Stegostoma tigrinum: one gene and its partner. The protein of the gene in region 2 purifies or fractionates together with the protein of the main gene of each other region. This does not show direct contact. Links are inferred from orthologs where the notes say so. Each region holds a gene or a part of one and is shown on either strand. Other genes may lie near its edges.

Region 1 (8,511 bases), on a different chromosome or scaffold from region 2:
TCAGTGACATTACCACCTGATAACTTGCCTTCCATAGTTCTTTCCCAAAGTCTCTTTCAACTATCAAATATCTCAAAATTGTCCAAATAGTTGCCAACCATGCAGTACTGAATGAGGAAAAATTTTCTCCAATTAAATACTGGAAATGCCAAAGTTATGTCCAGGCCATCAACACCATCCTTCACCCTGGCAACCAGAACTAGGAATAGGAATAGGCAATTCAGCCCTTCGAGCCTGCTCCACCATTTAATATCATCACAGCTGATCTCATTTTAGTTAAGTCCACTTCCTTGTCTGCTCTCCAAATCCCTTCAACAAATAATCAATTAAAAACCTGTTAGCTCCTCAAATTTACTCAATGTCCCAGCATGCACAATACATCGATTCACAACTCAAAAGTAATTTGTCGTCTGTTTTAAGTTTGTCACTCCTTATCCTAAAACTGTGACTTCTCATTATAAATTGCCCACGAGAGAAAAGATCCTCTACATCCACTTTGGCAATCCCCTTTAGCATCTATTATACCTTAATAAGGTTTCCTCTCACTCTCTAAAAATCCAGAAAGCACAGGTCTAACCCGGTCAATCTCTCTTTCATGTGACAAACCCCTCATCTCTAGGATCAATCGAGTGAACCTCCTCGGAACTGTCTCCAATGCAACTCGATCCCTCCTCAAGTAAGGCCAAAACTGCGCATAGTACTTGTAAACCAAAATGTTTGCAACCATGGTGTTACATTTGACTCCAAGATGTGCTTCCGACCATACAACCACATCACTAATATCACTCATTTGCATTCCAAGACATCACCTAGTTCTGCTGCTGCCTCAGTTCATCTGCTGCAGAATCTCTCAATGATACCTTTATTACTATAAAAGGTATTTCAACAGATCATTAGCTGGCTTCTTACATTCTGTAAACTCAAGGAATCCTAAACTCGATGGCTGATGTCCTAACTTGCACCAAATCCAGTTCAATCATCACCTTCCCACTAACTGAAACACATTGGCCCCTGTAAAATTTTAATTATTTTCAAATCCCTTCATGGTCTTGCCTCTGATTCATAAATTAGAAGATCTGTAATCTTCCCCAGCACTACAACCTTCTGACTAATTGTAATCTTCAGATTCCAGTTTCTTGAGCATTCCTGATTTTAAATCAAGCCACCACTGATGATCAAAATTTCAGTAGCCAAAGACCCCATTTCACTATATTTCGGCTTCCTTATGATCTCTTTGACAAAGATTTTGGTCACCTACCCCAATATCTCTTATACTGCATGGTGTCAAATTTATGTGAACAGCATGGGACATTTTACTACATTCAAAAGCACTTTACAAACATCAGTAGTTGTTGTTTCTACACAGTTGTATAGCAACTCTTCCTGCTCAGTGCTGTCATTATCTCTGTACCATCACAAAAGCATTACCTGTTAGATGTTCTCACCCTCTTTGGCCAATCTGCTATGTGCCGGTCCTTTTGCAGTAACATGTGAATGTGACCCTCGTTCACTCATGTTTTTCTGCATACAACATGCAGTGTCATTTCCTTTCATTCTGATCCTTTTCTCTGTCTAGCAATGCTCCATATCAGTAAATGTGGGTGGGTCTGCTATGTACCATGTTTGGAAAAATGTGCAATTGAAAAAGGCTGAATCAACCCCACACTTCCACATGAATTGTACTATTAAACCTTGACATAACTGAAGTTCCTGTGGCAGTTCAATGCAACCACAGTCAGTATTTCCAAGAAGTAAAAGTACTGACATTTTACCCTGACACCCTAAACAAGGAAGCAAGATCCAACAGTTGAAGGGAATACAATTTTACTCAGAAGGCTACACTCTGAAAGTAACACCCCATGGCCTAAAGTTATTTTTTGTAGACAGCACAATTATCGTCAACTTTAGTTAATCCAAGATAATTCTGCCTATTTAAATCTTCATCTAGGCAGGGTTTCAAGAAATTCAGATGACGTGGAACAAATGGCTTTCAGTTGGAGGCAACAACACGTCTTTTGACCAAATGAGACACGGGTTGCAAGAAAGCTTATGAAAGCTGTGGGGATCACTAACATCTTGATAATTTTGTAGTTTTGCCTTCTGGTCCTAGATTAAAGCATATACTCCATTTTACCAGTTATGTCTAGCTATCACTAAGGCCTTGACCATACCTCATCTCAGATCTCTTTTTCCTCTGACAATGACTTTAGATATTTAATTCGCACTTTAATGTTTAAACTAGAACTATTCTTGTTCCTCTTCATTGCAATCCATGAAGGTCCTTTGCCAAACACCTTCACATAATGATCCAATCAGTGCTCTATAAAAAAGGCAGCATTTCAGTTTTCAGAAAAAAAACAGATAAAATGAACTGTCCCTCCTTGACAGAGTTCAGAGTAATTAGGAAAAATAATTTAACTTCAATTTCACATTTTTAGATTTCACATTTAAAAATCATTGCCTTTTCTTACCTTAGCCCTGAAGTTTGCATATTAGTTTTAATATTTAATTTAAATTTTTAATATTTAATTTTAATTTCTTTGCATCAGGCACAGTTTTAGAATAATCTGACCAAATTAAATTTGTTTCATAAATCCAAATCCCTCAACGTGATGAATCTTGCCTTACAAAATAGCTTTGAGAGAGGCTGCTCAGTACCTTATTCCACAATCCTTAGTGAATATCTTTGGAATTAAACAAAAAAAAAACAGTATTTTCACACAAGCTCTGATCCCTCCCATTCGCATCTCCTGTTATCAACACAACACTGGGCTCTTTTCTGCCCTTGTGGGCAAGTGCATATATACACCTTAAGGCATCGTACAGACGAAAAGCTTCCAAATCAGCATTACGAGTGTTCTACTTGTTGGGATATAGTCACCTATCCTTAGTTTTACTGTTATGTTTGCACATTCATCCGCGATTGGTGAATATGCAAAATCAATACAATCGTCAACACAGCACACCAGTCTTTGACCAACGACTTTTAAGTACAGGTAGCTGTCGCAGAGGTCAGTGAGGGATTGACAGCAATGTTTGAGCCTAGCTGTATACTCCAAGCGCCGTATTTTTGTTCAGTGACTGGCTACAGCCCATTTGTGAAACTTCCCCTCTGCTCCCTCAGGCTTCCTTAAGTTCAGGCCAGGTTATCATTGAATGTCAGCACTCCCCAGCGAGTTCCATATTTCACAGATTCCCCCTGTTGTGGCATAGCCACAGTCTCCGCCCAATACCCGCAGTATTCCCACCCGCCTCCCCTCACCAATACACCCATTCTTCCCTCATACACCCGCTCACCCACCTTCGGGATGTCATGGTGATGGACGGAGGGCACTCCCTCTCACACTGGCCTGCCGGTTCTTTTCTGCCTCCGCCGGTGATGGGTGCGAGAGTTGGTAGGCACTCTGCCTCTGCGGCAGCTCCTATGGGGCAAGAGGACCTAACTCGATCTCAGGCACTTCCCGCCCAGCGTCTGTGTCTCTGTGTGTGTGTGTCTCTCCCTACCCAGCTGAGGAACTAACTAGAAACGCAGCGACTGCGTCGCGGGGGGAAAAAAGTCATCTCCACCTACCCCCTCCCGGCCTACGGCGCTGGAAATCTACGTCTCCAACACACCGACCCGCGCACGGATATGACGCAGCGGCGTCCCCTTTCCCTGCAAGGCTGAGAGTAGACATCGAAAGAATAATGAATTATCACGCTAGGGCAGAGAATGTCGAGTTAACACCCCGAAACTCTCCGGCGCGCATGTGTAAAATTTGCATTTCTTGTTCCCAAACCCACACGAAGACCCGGTGACGTCACTCCACCAGACCAGTTCACTGAGCCGATTTGGGGGCCGCCATGTTTATTATTGGCAGGACGTGTCATAAAGTGCGCGCGCGCAGAGTTTTTCGCATGCGTATTGTGAACCTCTGGAAGTGGGGGTGTGTTATGAGGCATTGCAACCCGGAGAGGCTTTGTCACTTCAGAAACCAAGACTGTTCAGCCCACGTTTGATTGAGAATAATTCAGGTCGTTACTGGTTTGAATTTATTCATTCATTAATCGGGGTTAATTGATCTAAAGTAAAAGGATTAGGGCGGTATGTGGGGAGAAATGTTTCACGGTAGGTGGAGGCATGGTCTAGAATGTTCCACCCATTCTGGTGGTCGAGGCCGAAACCTCCGATAATGTAATGCCCCCCCAAAAAGCAAAAGCTGGAGAAAGTTAGTGGCTCTGGCAGCATCTGAGGAGTAAGAGGAAAACAGTTATCGCTTCTAGCCTGGTGAGCCTTCATCAGAATTAGTTTCGAAGAACGTTGCTGTCTATTTCTGAAGAAGGTTCACTGAACAGTAGCGCTGCTTCTCTCTCAGCAGATAATGTTAGAGGTGCTGAATTTAACTACTTCGGGTTCTTGTTTCAGAAACCTTCAAACTATCTGGACGGTTTTTCTTTGAATGTGCTGGAAGATGGGATAGTTTTCTCTCAACTGCCGTGAACGTGACGGGCTGAATGGCCGCTTTCTATGCTACAACTTTTCCGTGGTTCCATAAAGACGGTTTTGTGACACTTGTTACAATTTTGTCACAACAAAGTTAGCAAATTGAATTTTCTTTTTCAAACATTGGAAGCTGAATCAATTTGGTCATGAAAAGGAAAATAGAAAAAAAGTTTAAAAGTATGAGAACCTAATTCAGACAGAATTGTGGCAAAGGAGTGCATTGTAGGTCAGATCTTGATCTAATAGAGCAGTGAGGTTCTGGGTCTACTTTATTATTTGGTTCAGGGCTTGGGTAAGTATAACAGCATAAATGAAGCAGGGCAAAACAGCAAACAAAGGAACAAATTCAGCTGGGTCTGGTACCATTTGTGGTGAGAAAACAGGTTCACAACTAATTGTAGCTGGGAAAAGCTGGCATATATGTGGGAGATGGGAGAGGGGAAGGAGGTGGAGATGAGGCCCAGAGAAAGAACAGCTTTTGGATAATTAAACAAATGGATAATGGTCAGCATTGGAAATAGCTACTAAAGCCAAAAATGGATTGGCTGTGATGAAAGCAGCCAAAGTGATGACAAGGTGGGGCTGGTTGTGTGAGGGATGTAAAAGACATGGAAGAAGGTGCTCGGGCCTTATGATTAGTGAACTCTGTATTGAGTTCTGAAGCCTGCAGGTTCCCCAAGCAGAAAATGAAATGCAGTTCTTCCAGCTGGAGCACTGCAGCACCCCTGGGAGAAATGTTAGCCAGAGCACACAGTTGTGCCTTGAAGCTCAGGGTCATTTTGGTTTTCTTTGGACAGAACACAGGTGACTATCCACTCATTCCTTTGTCTGCCAACTACTGTTCTGTTCTGGGTGCATCTCTACCTGCTGTTTATTCCCCAGCCCCTGTTTTCAGCGTGATGTAATCCCATTTTCCCTGTGACAGTCAGTCCTGAAGATGAGTCATTGGGCCTGAAAAGTTGACTTTTTTGTGCACAGATGTTGCCAGACCTGTGGACCTTCTCCAGTAATTTGTTTTGATTTGTTTCAGATTTCCAGCATCTATAATTTTATTTTAGTGAGGTAAGGGAGTTGGGTAGCATTGAGTCAGTCTTTTGATTCCCACAAGGTCAAAATGATGATACTTTAGACTATAGACTTGATGGAACTCCATTTTATTTCTTGCATCTCCATGTACCTAACACAATAGCAGTCCATTGGTCACATGACTAAGTTATGGGGAGGTGATGGCCTAGTGATGTTATTGCTACACTGTTAATTCAGAGACCCAGATAACCTTCTGGGGACCTGGGTTTGAATCCTGCCATAGATGGTGGAATTTGAATTCAATAAATATCTGGAATTGAGTCTAATGATGACTGTGGATCCATTGTCGATTTGCTGGAAAAACCCCATCTGGTCCACTGATTTCCTTTAGGGAAGGAAACTGCCGCCCTTAGCTGGTCTGGCCTACATGTGATTCCAGACCTACAGCAATGTGGTTGACTCTTAACTGCCTTCTGGGCAATTAGGGATGGACAATAAATGCTGCCTAGCCAGCAACGCCCTCATCCCTCCGATGAATTTTTAACAAAGTTAGAACAGTGAGGTCCCCTTGCACATTCAGCAATTAGTTCCTATTACTTTCTCCAACAGAAACAATGTCCTATTAATTAAAAGAAAAATGGTCTGCCTTTATATTAGTGTAACAGTTCCAGTTATCTGTTTTCCTAAAGATCAATGTTAATCATATTTTAAAAATGAACACTTTACAGTTTATTAACTTGTTCTCTTCCTTTAAGCACAAGTATTTTTTGGCTGTAAAATGTTGTCTCTGAGCTAAACAGCACACTGCAGTTGCTCTTTAAATACTTCAAGTTCTGCTTTATTGTTCTGCAGTGCAAGTTTTTCGTGCAGCCACTCTTGTGCCTTTCTTCCAGCTTTTCAACTTCCTGCTTTACCCATTCTTCTTGGAATTGATCCAGTTTCTGTTTCTGTAGTTCCAGAGAATTGTTCCCCAACTGGACATAGGGAACTCCAGATGCAGTTTAACACTAAATTAGTGTCAGCTTTTTGAGTTCTTATCCTTTGATGTGAATGCTGATAGAGTTTTGAAGTGAGATTCATGTTTACCTTCTCTCTGACCAGTATACTTTGCAATTTCTATTATGTGTACTTTTTATCAAGTCATGATATGCCCTGCTTAGTCTTCACTTTTCGGGTATGTCACTTTTTTGTCTTAAATTTTCATTTCTGATGTGCTGTAAGTTTCTGGTAATCTACCTGAGTTTTAAATAGGCTCACTGCTGCCCCCCCCCCCCCCCCCCCCCCCCCCCCCCCCCCCAGTTCAGAGCTCCATCTTTTGTATTGGCCATGAGAGTTTCAAATACCACGTGGCCACTTATCCATGTGCGCTCAAGTGATACTTTGTGTTTTTATGGGTTTTGTTTTTTTCCCAGTCTGGGGGTATCCTCACGTAACTCTTTCTCTAGTACTTTGACTGTATCAGTGCCTGCTGTCACCCAGAACTGGAAAAGTTAATCCATTTTGCTTTCAATTTCTAGTCTTTCAAGTTCACCTGGCCCATCTCTGACTCTTTCCTTTAATCCTTAATTTTTCTGTCTTTGCCCCCTCTTGCAGGGATAGACTGTCTACTAATATTAGTTACAAATCCACCAACTCCCACAGCTACCTCGGCTACATTTGCTCTCACTATTTTGAAGGGACCGTTACCTTTGACATTCTGGCATCCCTTTATTGCCCCAACTCTTCATCTCCCTCCCGAAGCACTTTTTTATAAATGGCAGGAAATGCAATACATTGTTTTATCACCACTCTCCTACTGTCCAAAGCCCTTAATATTTCTTTCAGGAGATGTAAATCTACTTGTGCTTTCTTTTTTCAATCTAGTCTACTGGCTTCAATGCTTATAATGTAGCCTCCACTTCGCTGGGGACACCACTTTGCAGAACGCACCTCGGTTTGCAAGCATGACACCAACCTTCTGTCACTTGACACAAGTACACCATTTAGCTCTTAGAATTTCTTTTGCCCTAGGTCAACTGTAGTGTCTGAGTGAAACCCATTGCAAGCTGGAGCATTTTCCATTTAGGCCTAAAGAAGTCACTGGACTCAACGTTAACACCATTTTCAGATGCTGAGTTTCTCCAGCTATTTGTTTGTTTTAGACCTCCAGCATCTGAAGGCCTTTGTATTATTCGACTTAGGCCTTTTAGATTTGATGTTGCATTGAATAATTTCAGACCGTGAACTCTCTCCTCCATTTTGTTTCCTGCCCTCTCTCCATTGTTTTTAGGTTTTGCATGCCGCAGTGCTGACCTCTTAATTATGCTCTTAACAGCTACTGTTAAACATCTAATCTGCACCTAGCTGTCTCTACAACGTGAACTCTCCCTTTGCCTATTGTTGTGACATTTGAGTTTATTACTCTGTCTCTCTAACATTCCCTTAAATTCCACCTGCTTCCCCTCCTCTTGGTTAGTACTTGGAACAATTACATTATTGCAATTTAGAGATTGGGCTGAAAAAGAGATAGCTGAATGTTCCCATGTTTCGTAAGTGATGGAGGTAAATGGTGGGGAAGTATTCCTGGCAAAGGAGTATCTGTTGTACTGGGAGAAGATGCATCAGAGGAGTTGTGCAGCAAGGCAATGTGGGGAGAACCCAGGAATAGGAAAGGTGAAATAGCAGTGCTGGGGATATACTACAGGTCACTGACCAGCCAGTGGGAGATAGAGAAGAGAATGTGGACAGATTTTGGAAAGATGTAAAAACAGCAAGGTTGTTGTGGTGGGTGACTTTTTTGTTTTCTTTTTAACTTCCCCTGTATTGACTAGGACTCCCCATGTGCTAGGGACTTGGATGGGGAAGAATTTTGTAAGGACCGTTCGGGAGAATTCGTGGCACAATACGTAAGCAGTTCAACCAGGCAAGGGGTTATACTGGACCAGGTTTTGGGACCTGAGCCGCATCAGGTGAGTGAAGTTTCAATGGGGGAGCATATCAGTAGTGGTGACCATTGCACAGTG
Region 2 (8,592 bases):
ATGAATAGTTTGCATCAGTTTTTACTGTTAAGAAAGAAATGGAAGCTAGAGAACTCAGGGAAACAAATATTGATGTATTGAAAAATCATTCACATTACAGAAGTAGTAGTGTCGGAGGTCTTAGAAAACATAAAAGTAGATAAACCTCCAGGACCTAATCAAGTGTATCACAGGACATTGTGGAAAGTTAGGGAGGAAATTGCAGGGCCTCTAGCAGAAATATTTATATCATTTACAAACACAGGTGAAGGAGCAGAGGACTAGAGGGTGGCTAACTTTGTGTCTTTATTTAAGAAAGGCTGTAAGGAAAAACCTGGAAAGTACAGACCTAGTCTGACATCAGTGGTGGTTACGTTATTGGAGGTGATTGTGAAAGGTAGGATTAACATGCATTTGGGGAGGCAAGGATTGATTAGAGATAGTCAACATGGCTTTGTGCAAGGAAAATACTATCGTACTTGATCAAATTTTTGAATGAAGTCACCAAAAAGGCTTATGAGAGTACAGTGATAGGCTTTGTTTACTCAGACTTTAGTAAAGCTTTTGTCACAGTTCCACATGGTAAACTAATCTGTAAAGTTGGATCACATTGGATTCAGTGTGATCTTATAGAATTCTTTTTTATTCTTGACTAGAGCTTCAATATCTTTATTCATCCGTTGTTCCCTAATTGGATATGAATTTGGCTTTAAGGTAGGAGACAGAGGATGGTGGTGGAGAGCCGTTTTTCAGATTGCAGGTCTGTGACCAGTGGTATTCCTCAGGGTCCGGTGCTGGGACAACTTTTGTTTGTCAGTTATATAAGTGATTTGGATGAGAATACAGGAGACATGGTGAGTAAGTTTGCAGAAGATACCGAAATTGGCGGTGTAGTGGACAGTGAAGAAGATTATAAAGAGATTTTGACCAAGTGATTCAATGAGATAAGGAAAAGCAGATCGAGTTGGGTAAATATCAGGTATTGCATTTTGGTAATACAAACAAGAACAGCATTTTGACAATTAATGGTAGGGCCCTAGGTAGTATTGTAGAGCAGAGAGACCTAAGGGTTCAGAAACAATATTCTTTGAAATTTGCATCACAGTTAGATTAAGGTGGTTAAGCAAACAGTTAGCATGCTTGCTTTCATTGCTCAGACCTTTTGGGTATTGCAGAAGGGACGTCATGTGGCGGTTGTGCAAGACGTTTGTGAAGATGCTTCTGTAGTGCTGTGCACGGTTCTGGTCACCCCTGTACAGGAAAAATATTATTAAACTAGAAACCATTCAGAAAATGTTTACCAGGACGTTGCCAGGAATGGAGGGTTTGAGTTATAAAAATAGGCTGGAAAGACTGGTGCTTTTTTCACTGGAGCGTAGGAGGTTGAGGGGTGATCTTATACAGGTTTATAAAATCATGTGGGGTATAGACTGGCAAGGGTCTTTTCCCCAGGGTGGGGGATTTTAAAACTAGGGAGCATATTTTTAAGGTGAGAGGAGAAACTTTTAAAAAGGAGAGTCGTGTGTGTGTGGTATGAACTGCCAGAGAAAGTGATGGATGCAAGTACAGTTAGAACATATAAAGGACATTTGGATAAGTTCATGGATAGGAAAGGTTTGGAGGGATATGGACCAAGCTCAGGCAGGTCGGGCTAGATTAGTTTGGGAACAAGGTTGGACCAAAGGGTCTATTTCCTTGCTGTATGATTCTATAAGAATATAAAATAGGTGGTATATTCCAAAGGAGGGTGCAGGAGCAGAGGCACTTGGATCTCTTTGTGCATAGGTCTTTGAAGGTAGCAGGACTAGTGAAGACCAGCAGTAAATAAAGCATACCTCACCTTAAGTACTGTGTACTGTTGTGAGCACCATATTATTGGAAAGATGCAAACACTTTGGATAGAGTGCAGAAATGATTTACAAGAAAGGTTTCAGGAGAAACTTCAGTTACAGGGACAGATCAAAAAGTTGGGACAGTTCTCCTTGGAAAGAAAGCTGCTTGAAAATGTGGTAGACACAGTTTCAATTGAGACATCCATGAAAACGTTAGATGTATGTATAGAAACAGTGCGCAAGACAATGGGGAGAAAGCAGGAGATTGGAATTAGATAATAATAGTCGTTTAAAGAGACTTTTCTGAACTGTAACACTTCTGTGAAGGTATGAAATAAACTACTAATTTTGTTATACATTGAAGCAATCCTTCATACGTATAGAAACATCTCTCAGGACAGGGATTCATATATAATTTCGTCTAACTGAAATGAAATGTCATATTCGTGAAATGGATTGTTTTTTTTAAACCGAGAACGATTTCCAGAATTAACTGAGCGCTCAACAATGGCGTTGTTTAAACCGGTACTGATTGCATTGCATACAAACTCCCAGTGAACGTGGTTTCCAATAACTTTACAATCACCCTCTTCCAAATATTGACCGAAATTACTAGATTTACTTTATTAAAATAATAAATATTCAAACAAAAGATAATGGTAGCCTTCTTTCCTATTTTTTCAGCAAATCAAATCTCAAATAAACTCCTGAGTCAAACTTCACTGCATTTTAAGCACTTATGTTCGCCTTTCAGAGGAAAGCTTATTTTAGTTTGAAAAACGTGAAAAACTTAATTTTGCATTAAGCAATGCATTTGAACGATGCAAAAAGTCAAATGCATCTTCCAGAAAGCGTAACCCGTCTAACGTGCTTACATATTGTTGAGTATTGTAACATTTTACTCAAACTGAGGGTATCACTGGCTAACTATTTGATAGAGAAATAGATCGATAAAAAAGTATCAGGATTCAGCCGACACGTGGTTTTGAGATAACTGAAGGTGCTGCAAAATATCTGAAAACTCTGCAAAGTTCCAGCGTCGTGAGGTTTGTTGCATCGAAAAGTCTCACGCTTTATTCAGTCAAATAAACGCCAGAAATGATGCATTAGGCAAAAAGGTTTATAAAAATAAAGTTTTACAAGCTCAAATTAACCGGAAAATCGCACCGTCTAAAATCCAATCTTTACCTTGAAAGTAAATCCCAGACTGGATCTGTAGTATTCTCGGAAGAGTCAAGGGATCGAGCGAGTCGATGAAACTCTCGAGAGTTTGCGCCATTGCATTGAAATTTCCTCACTAAACTGCAGAGCATCAGCGTCGAAGACTGCAGTCCATGTTTCAAGGTGCTCCTAGTCAGTCAGTTTCCCTGCCCACTAGAATACGGGTAAATATCACTAAATGTGAGCTAAATATCACTGCCCACTATAGACAGGTCAGTCCTCTCTGTCCAGTTTAAGACATGAATCTCCCTATCTAGTGGAAGCAGGTCAGTGTTCCCAGATAGCGCAAGGTTAGACTGCAGTTCCTTGTGCCATCCTACTCTCACTCACGGTCTGAGAATAGTTTCGCAAAATGTTCCACCATCAGAGATTGCTTTCCAAATCTCAACGAATGAATCAGTTCATCACCACGACAGCCGAATGTGCAAAATGCAGAACAATAGTAGGCGGCAACCCCGGAAACACAATAGGCAAACTCGCATATTGTCAACGTTTGCAGCCTTCCTCAAAAGGTTGTTTTTATTTCACACTGAAAGAGATAGGTATCCCAGTGTGGCCGTAACATTTATGTTCACATTCAGACTTGTTCAGCTTTTATGCTACTTGTTGATTCTAATGAGTGGTTGATGATTTCCAGATATTAAAGACTGATTTTTTCCTAAAATAAAATCAGAAATGACAGGAATCTTAATTTAAAATGTAATCGGGAAACTTAGAAAAGAGGGTGCTGACATCTCCCACTATATATCAAATCACTTCGGACCAAGACGTTGGGTGCGCAGACTTCAAAATAATAACTGGGACTAAGATATGTTTAATGAAAATTCAGGAGGAGTTTGACACTTTGAATTGCGAGTGAGGTGGGCGCTGTGGTTTCATGTTTGTGCAAACACAGATCCCACACTCTACAGCGCCACGCAATTTCATCCATCAATGCTTCCACAAACGGTCTCCTTCCTGCCAGAGCCTGCGGATTAGACAAAGCAGTGATAACGGGAATTGCAGATGCTGGAGAATCCAAGATAACAAAGTGTGGAGCTGGATGAACACAGCAGGCCAAGCAGCATCTCAGGAGCACAAAAGCTGACGTTTCGGGTCTAGACCCTTCATCAGAAAAGGGGGAATGGGGTGACGATTCTGAAATAAATAGGGAGAGAGGGGGAGGCGGATCGAAGATGGAGAGAAAAGAAGATAGGTAGAGAGGAGAGTATAGGTGGGGAGGTAGGGAGGGGATAGGTCAGTCCAGAGGAGACGGACAGTTCAAGGAGGCGGGATGAGGTGGTAGGTAGGAAATGGAAGTGCGGCTTGAGGTGGGAGGATGGGATGGGTGAGAGGAAGAACAGGTTAGGGAGGCAGAGACAGGCTGGGCTAGTTTTGGGATGCAGTGGGGGGAGGGGAGGGGAGATTTTGAAGCTGGTGAAGTCCACATTCATACCACTGGGCTGCAGGGTTCCCAAGTGGAATATGAGTTGCTGTTCCTGCAACCTTCGGGTGGCATCATTGTGGCACTACAGGAGGCCCATGATGGACATGTTGTCTGAGGAATGGGAAGGGAAGTTGAAATGGTTCGCGACTGGGAGGTGCAGTTGTTTGGTGCGAACTGAGCGGAGGTGTTCTGCAAAGCGGTCCCCAAGCCTCTGCTTGGTTTCCCCAATGTAGAGGAAGGCACACCAGGTACAATGGACACAATATTCCACATTGGCAGATGTGCAGGTGAACATCTGCTTGATATGGAAGGTCATCTTGGGGTCTGGGATAGGGGTGAGGGAGTAGGTGTGGGGGGGCAAGTGTAGCACTTCCTGTGGTTGCAGGGGAAGGTGCCGGGTGTGGTGGGGTTGGAGAGAGTGGTCTCTCCGGAAGGCAGACAAGGGTGGGGATGGAAAAATAGCTTGGGTGGTGGGGTCGGATTGTAGATGGTGCAAGTGTCGGAGGATGATGCGTTGTATCCGGAGGTTGGTGGGGTGCTATGTGAGAACGAGGGGAGTCTCTGGGAGCGGTTGTGGCGGGGGCGGGGTGCGAGGGATATGTTGCGGGAAATGCAGGAGATGCGGTCAAGGGCGTTCTCGACCACTGCGAGGGTGAAGTTGCGGCCCTTGAAGAACGTGGACTTCTGGGATGTGCGGGAGTGGAATGCTTCATCCTGGGAGCAGATGCGGTGGAGGCGAAGGAATTGGGAATAGGGCATGGAATTTATGCAGGAGGATGGGTGGGAGGAGGTGCATTCTAGGTAACTGTGGGAGTCAGTGGGCTTGAAATGGACATCAGTTACAAGCTGGTTGCCTCAGATGGAGACTGAAGGGTCCAGGAAGGTGAGGGATGTGTTGGAGATGGCCCAGGTGAACTTGAGGTTGGGTTGGAAGGTTTTGGTGAAGTGGATGAACTGTTCCAGCTCTTCTGGGGAGCAAGAGGCGCCGCTGATACAGTCATCAATGTAATGGAGGAAGAGGTGGGGTTTGGGGCCTGTGTAGTGTCCTCCAACACTTCTGCCATCTACAATCCGACCCCACCACCCAAGCTATTTTTCCATCCCCACCCTCGTCTGCCTTCCGGAGAGACCACTCTCTCCGCGACTCCCTTGTCCGCTCCACACTCCCCTCCAACCCCACCACACCTGGCACCTTCCCCTGTAACCGCAGGAAGTGCTACACTTGCCCCCACAACTCCTCCCTCACCCCGATCCCAGGCCCCAAGATGACCTTCCATATCAAGCAAATGTTCACCTGCACATCTGCCAGTGGTATATTGTATCCATTGCAACCGGTGTGGCTTCCTCTACATTGGGGAAACCAAGCAGAGGCTTGGGGACCGCTTTGCAGAACACCTCCACTCGGTTCACAACAAACAACTGCACCTCCCAGTCGTGAACCATTTTAACTCCCCCTCCCTTTCTTTAGACGACATGTCCATTATGGGCCTCCTGCAGTGCCATAATGATGCCACCCGAAGGTTGCAAGAACAGCAACTCATATTCCACTTGGGAACCCTGCAGCCCAATGGTATCAATGTGGACTTCACAAGCTTCAAAATCTCCCCCTCCCCCACTGCATCCCAAAACCAGCCCAGCCTGTCTCCACTTCCCTAACCTGTTTTCCTCTCACCCATCCCATCCTCCCACCTCAAGCCGCACCTCCATTTCCTACCTACCACCTCATCCCACCTCCTTGACCTGTTCGTCTCCCCTGGACTGACCTATCCCCTCCCTACCTCCTCACGTATACGCTCCACTGTACCTATCTTCTTTTCTCTCCATCTTCGGTCCGCCTCCCCCTCTCTCCCTATTTATTCCAGTTCCCTCTCCCCATCCCCCTCTCTGATGAAGGGTCTAGGCCCGAAACGTCAGCTTTTGTGCTCCTGAGATGCTGATTAGACAAAGCAAATGCATGGTGCCGGACAGCAGAAGTGTTTTGTTGCCCCTCAGCTAAAAATGCAAATATAACATGCTGAACTGGCATTCATAAAACATCAACTCAGTTATGGGAAAGAGAATAACACAGTGTGGAACTGGACGAACATCAGAGCAGCATCAGAGAAGCAGAGGACAAAAGTCTTTTCTACTCGACACAAATCTTTTCTAATCCTCGGATGCTGCATGGCTTGCTGTGATCCTCCAGCTCCGCACTTTTACCTCTGACTCCAGTCTCTGCAGTTCTTACTATCTCTGAGTTAGTTATGGGAAATGTGTGACTTCTGCATCCAACAGATAGCTATCTGAAAAGGCAGACTGATATCTAACTATGTTATCTCTTCGGAATGCACTACTCTTGCCCATTTGCCTCCCTCCGTTGCCTCACAAAATCTTTAAGGTTCATTCAATTTTCTTGGGATCAACTCAAAATGTACATCATTCCATCTCCTGAATTTATTTCAATTTCTCTGAAGTTCGGGCTAGTCAACAAGGTACAAGGTTTTATGGAGGCCCTTCCATTGAGCATTAGTGAAGCAACTCTCTAACTTAATCTTAATAGATCTAATGACTTTGGATTCCACACCTGACACTGTCTGTTAGCTGCTTCTCTCAGTCAGCCTTACGGACAAACTGAATTCACAGAGACAAATTCAAAGACCAAGGACTTCACTAAACTCGACCCATCTCCATGGCATAACGAAACACACATCATACCCAGGTAAAAATGCAAGTTACTTACTTTTCACTTTCAAGATTTTTCTGAGGAAACCACATAGATAACTTATGTTTACTGTAATAACTGCAAATGTTATGCCTCAAATTATTTTCATCAGTGAGTGCACCTGTTTTATGATTTTATCTTGCTAGCTGTTAATCACTGAATTAACGTGACTCCATTTTAAGCGTTGAACTCCAAGCTTGTTTAAATTGCATTTATTTCAGTATTATTACAAAATATCAGGATTTTTCAATTATTTTACATCTGAACTAAAAATTACATTCTAATGCGCATCAACCATAAACATATTCGACACATATCTGTGTACACTGTGGACCACCACTTGTATTGACTTTAGAAAGGGTAAAGCTCATGCCCTGTGGTACGCAGCATTAGCTTGCAATGTTAACTGTTTGAGAAGAGAAATTGTTGTACATCCCTGAATGTACAATCACTCCGTTGTTAATCTCTCTGTAGGGATTTTGTAGAGATGAACAGACTAGGAAAGAGGTTTTTTTAAAAAATACAATTTAATGAGGATTTGGGAAATTGAGGGGTTGGGAAAAAGCTATCTGGCATGAAAGAAAACAACTTAAAAGTGAGTAAAGAGGATAAAGGGGGGGAATTAAAATATGTTTACTTTTCACAAATGGATGGAGAATGTATTCAGAGATAGTAGGAACTGCTGATGCTGGAGAATCTGAGATAACAAGGTGTGAAGCTGGATGAACACAGCAGGCCAAGCAGCATCACAGGAGCAGGAAAGCTGACGTTTCGGGTGGGGACCCTTCTTCAGAAAATGTATTCTGAATGTATTCAGTTGGTTAAAACAGCAAACAGATATCACTAAATGAAATAATTCTAAATAAATCAACATTTCCATTTTGTGGGCACAGATCCAACGGCACACCTGCAGTGAACAATGACAGACTGACATCACAAACTACCAAATGAAGCAATAACGATGAGTGATAAATGTGGACCATCAAAATGAAACAACTACCAAAACACAAACAGAAAATTCTGGAGAAACTCAGGTTTTGCAGCACCTGTAGAGAGGGAAACAGAGTTGACGCTTGAAGTGCAACATGACTCTTCTTTGGAACTAAAAAGTATTGGCAAATGATTTTTCAATTCCTATGACAAAGGTGGTGGAAGATCTAGGGGGTGGTCCAGAGGCCTCGTACAAGAGACAAAGAATTCTTCAATGATTGTGACAGAGAAAAAGAAACCAAATGGATGTTAAGAAAACTTTTGTGCACACAAGGAAGGTAGCAGTAGGTGATTTTAGGAATTAGATATTATGTAACAAATTGATATGTTTGTCTCAAATCCATTCCTTCAAGTAAACACAAGTGGATTGGCTACCAAATTCCATGGTGTTTGATGTATAGCAATAGAGTTGATGTAGAGATAATTTCTATGAGAAATGATAT

The links.
Region 1: the proteins of themis (region 2) and ptpn11a purify together in Homo sapiens (co-immunoprecipitation; 3 studies listed by BioGRID and IntAct, counting the BioPlex papers as one, with this or other methods). This does not show direct contact. The link is inferred for Stegostoma tigrinum from reciprocal best matches to the Homo sapiens genes THEMIS and PTPN11.

The regions. Positions count from the first base shown.
Region 1 is NC_081379.1:13,631,782-13,640,292, reverse strand, and holds the start of ptpn11a (tyrosine-protein phosphatase non-receptor type 11), read right to left. Parts: upstream 3,617-8,511; 5' UTR 3,316-3,616; coding exon 3,302-3,315; intron 1-3,301. UniProt on the Homo sapiens protein: Acts downstream of various receptor and cytoplasmic protein tyrosine kinases to participate in the signal transduction from the cell surface to the nucleus. Positively regulates MAPK signal transduction pathway. Dephosphorylates GAB1, ARHGAP35 and EGFR.
Region 2 is NC_081357.1:68,576,896-68,585,487, forward strand, and holds the start of themis (protein THEMIS), read right to left. Parts: upstream 3,431-8,592; 5' UTR 3,091-3,430; coding exon 3,000-3,090; intron 1-2,999.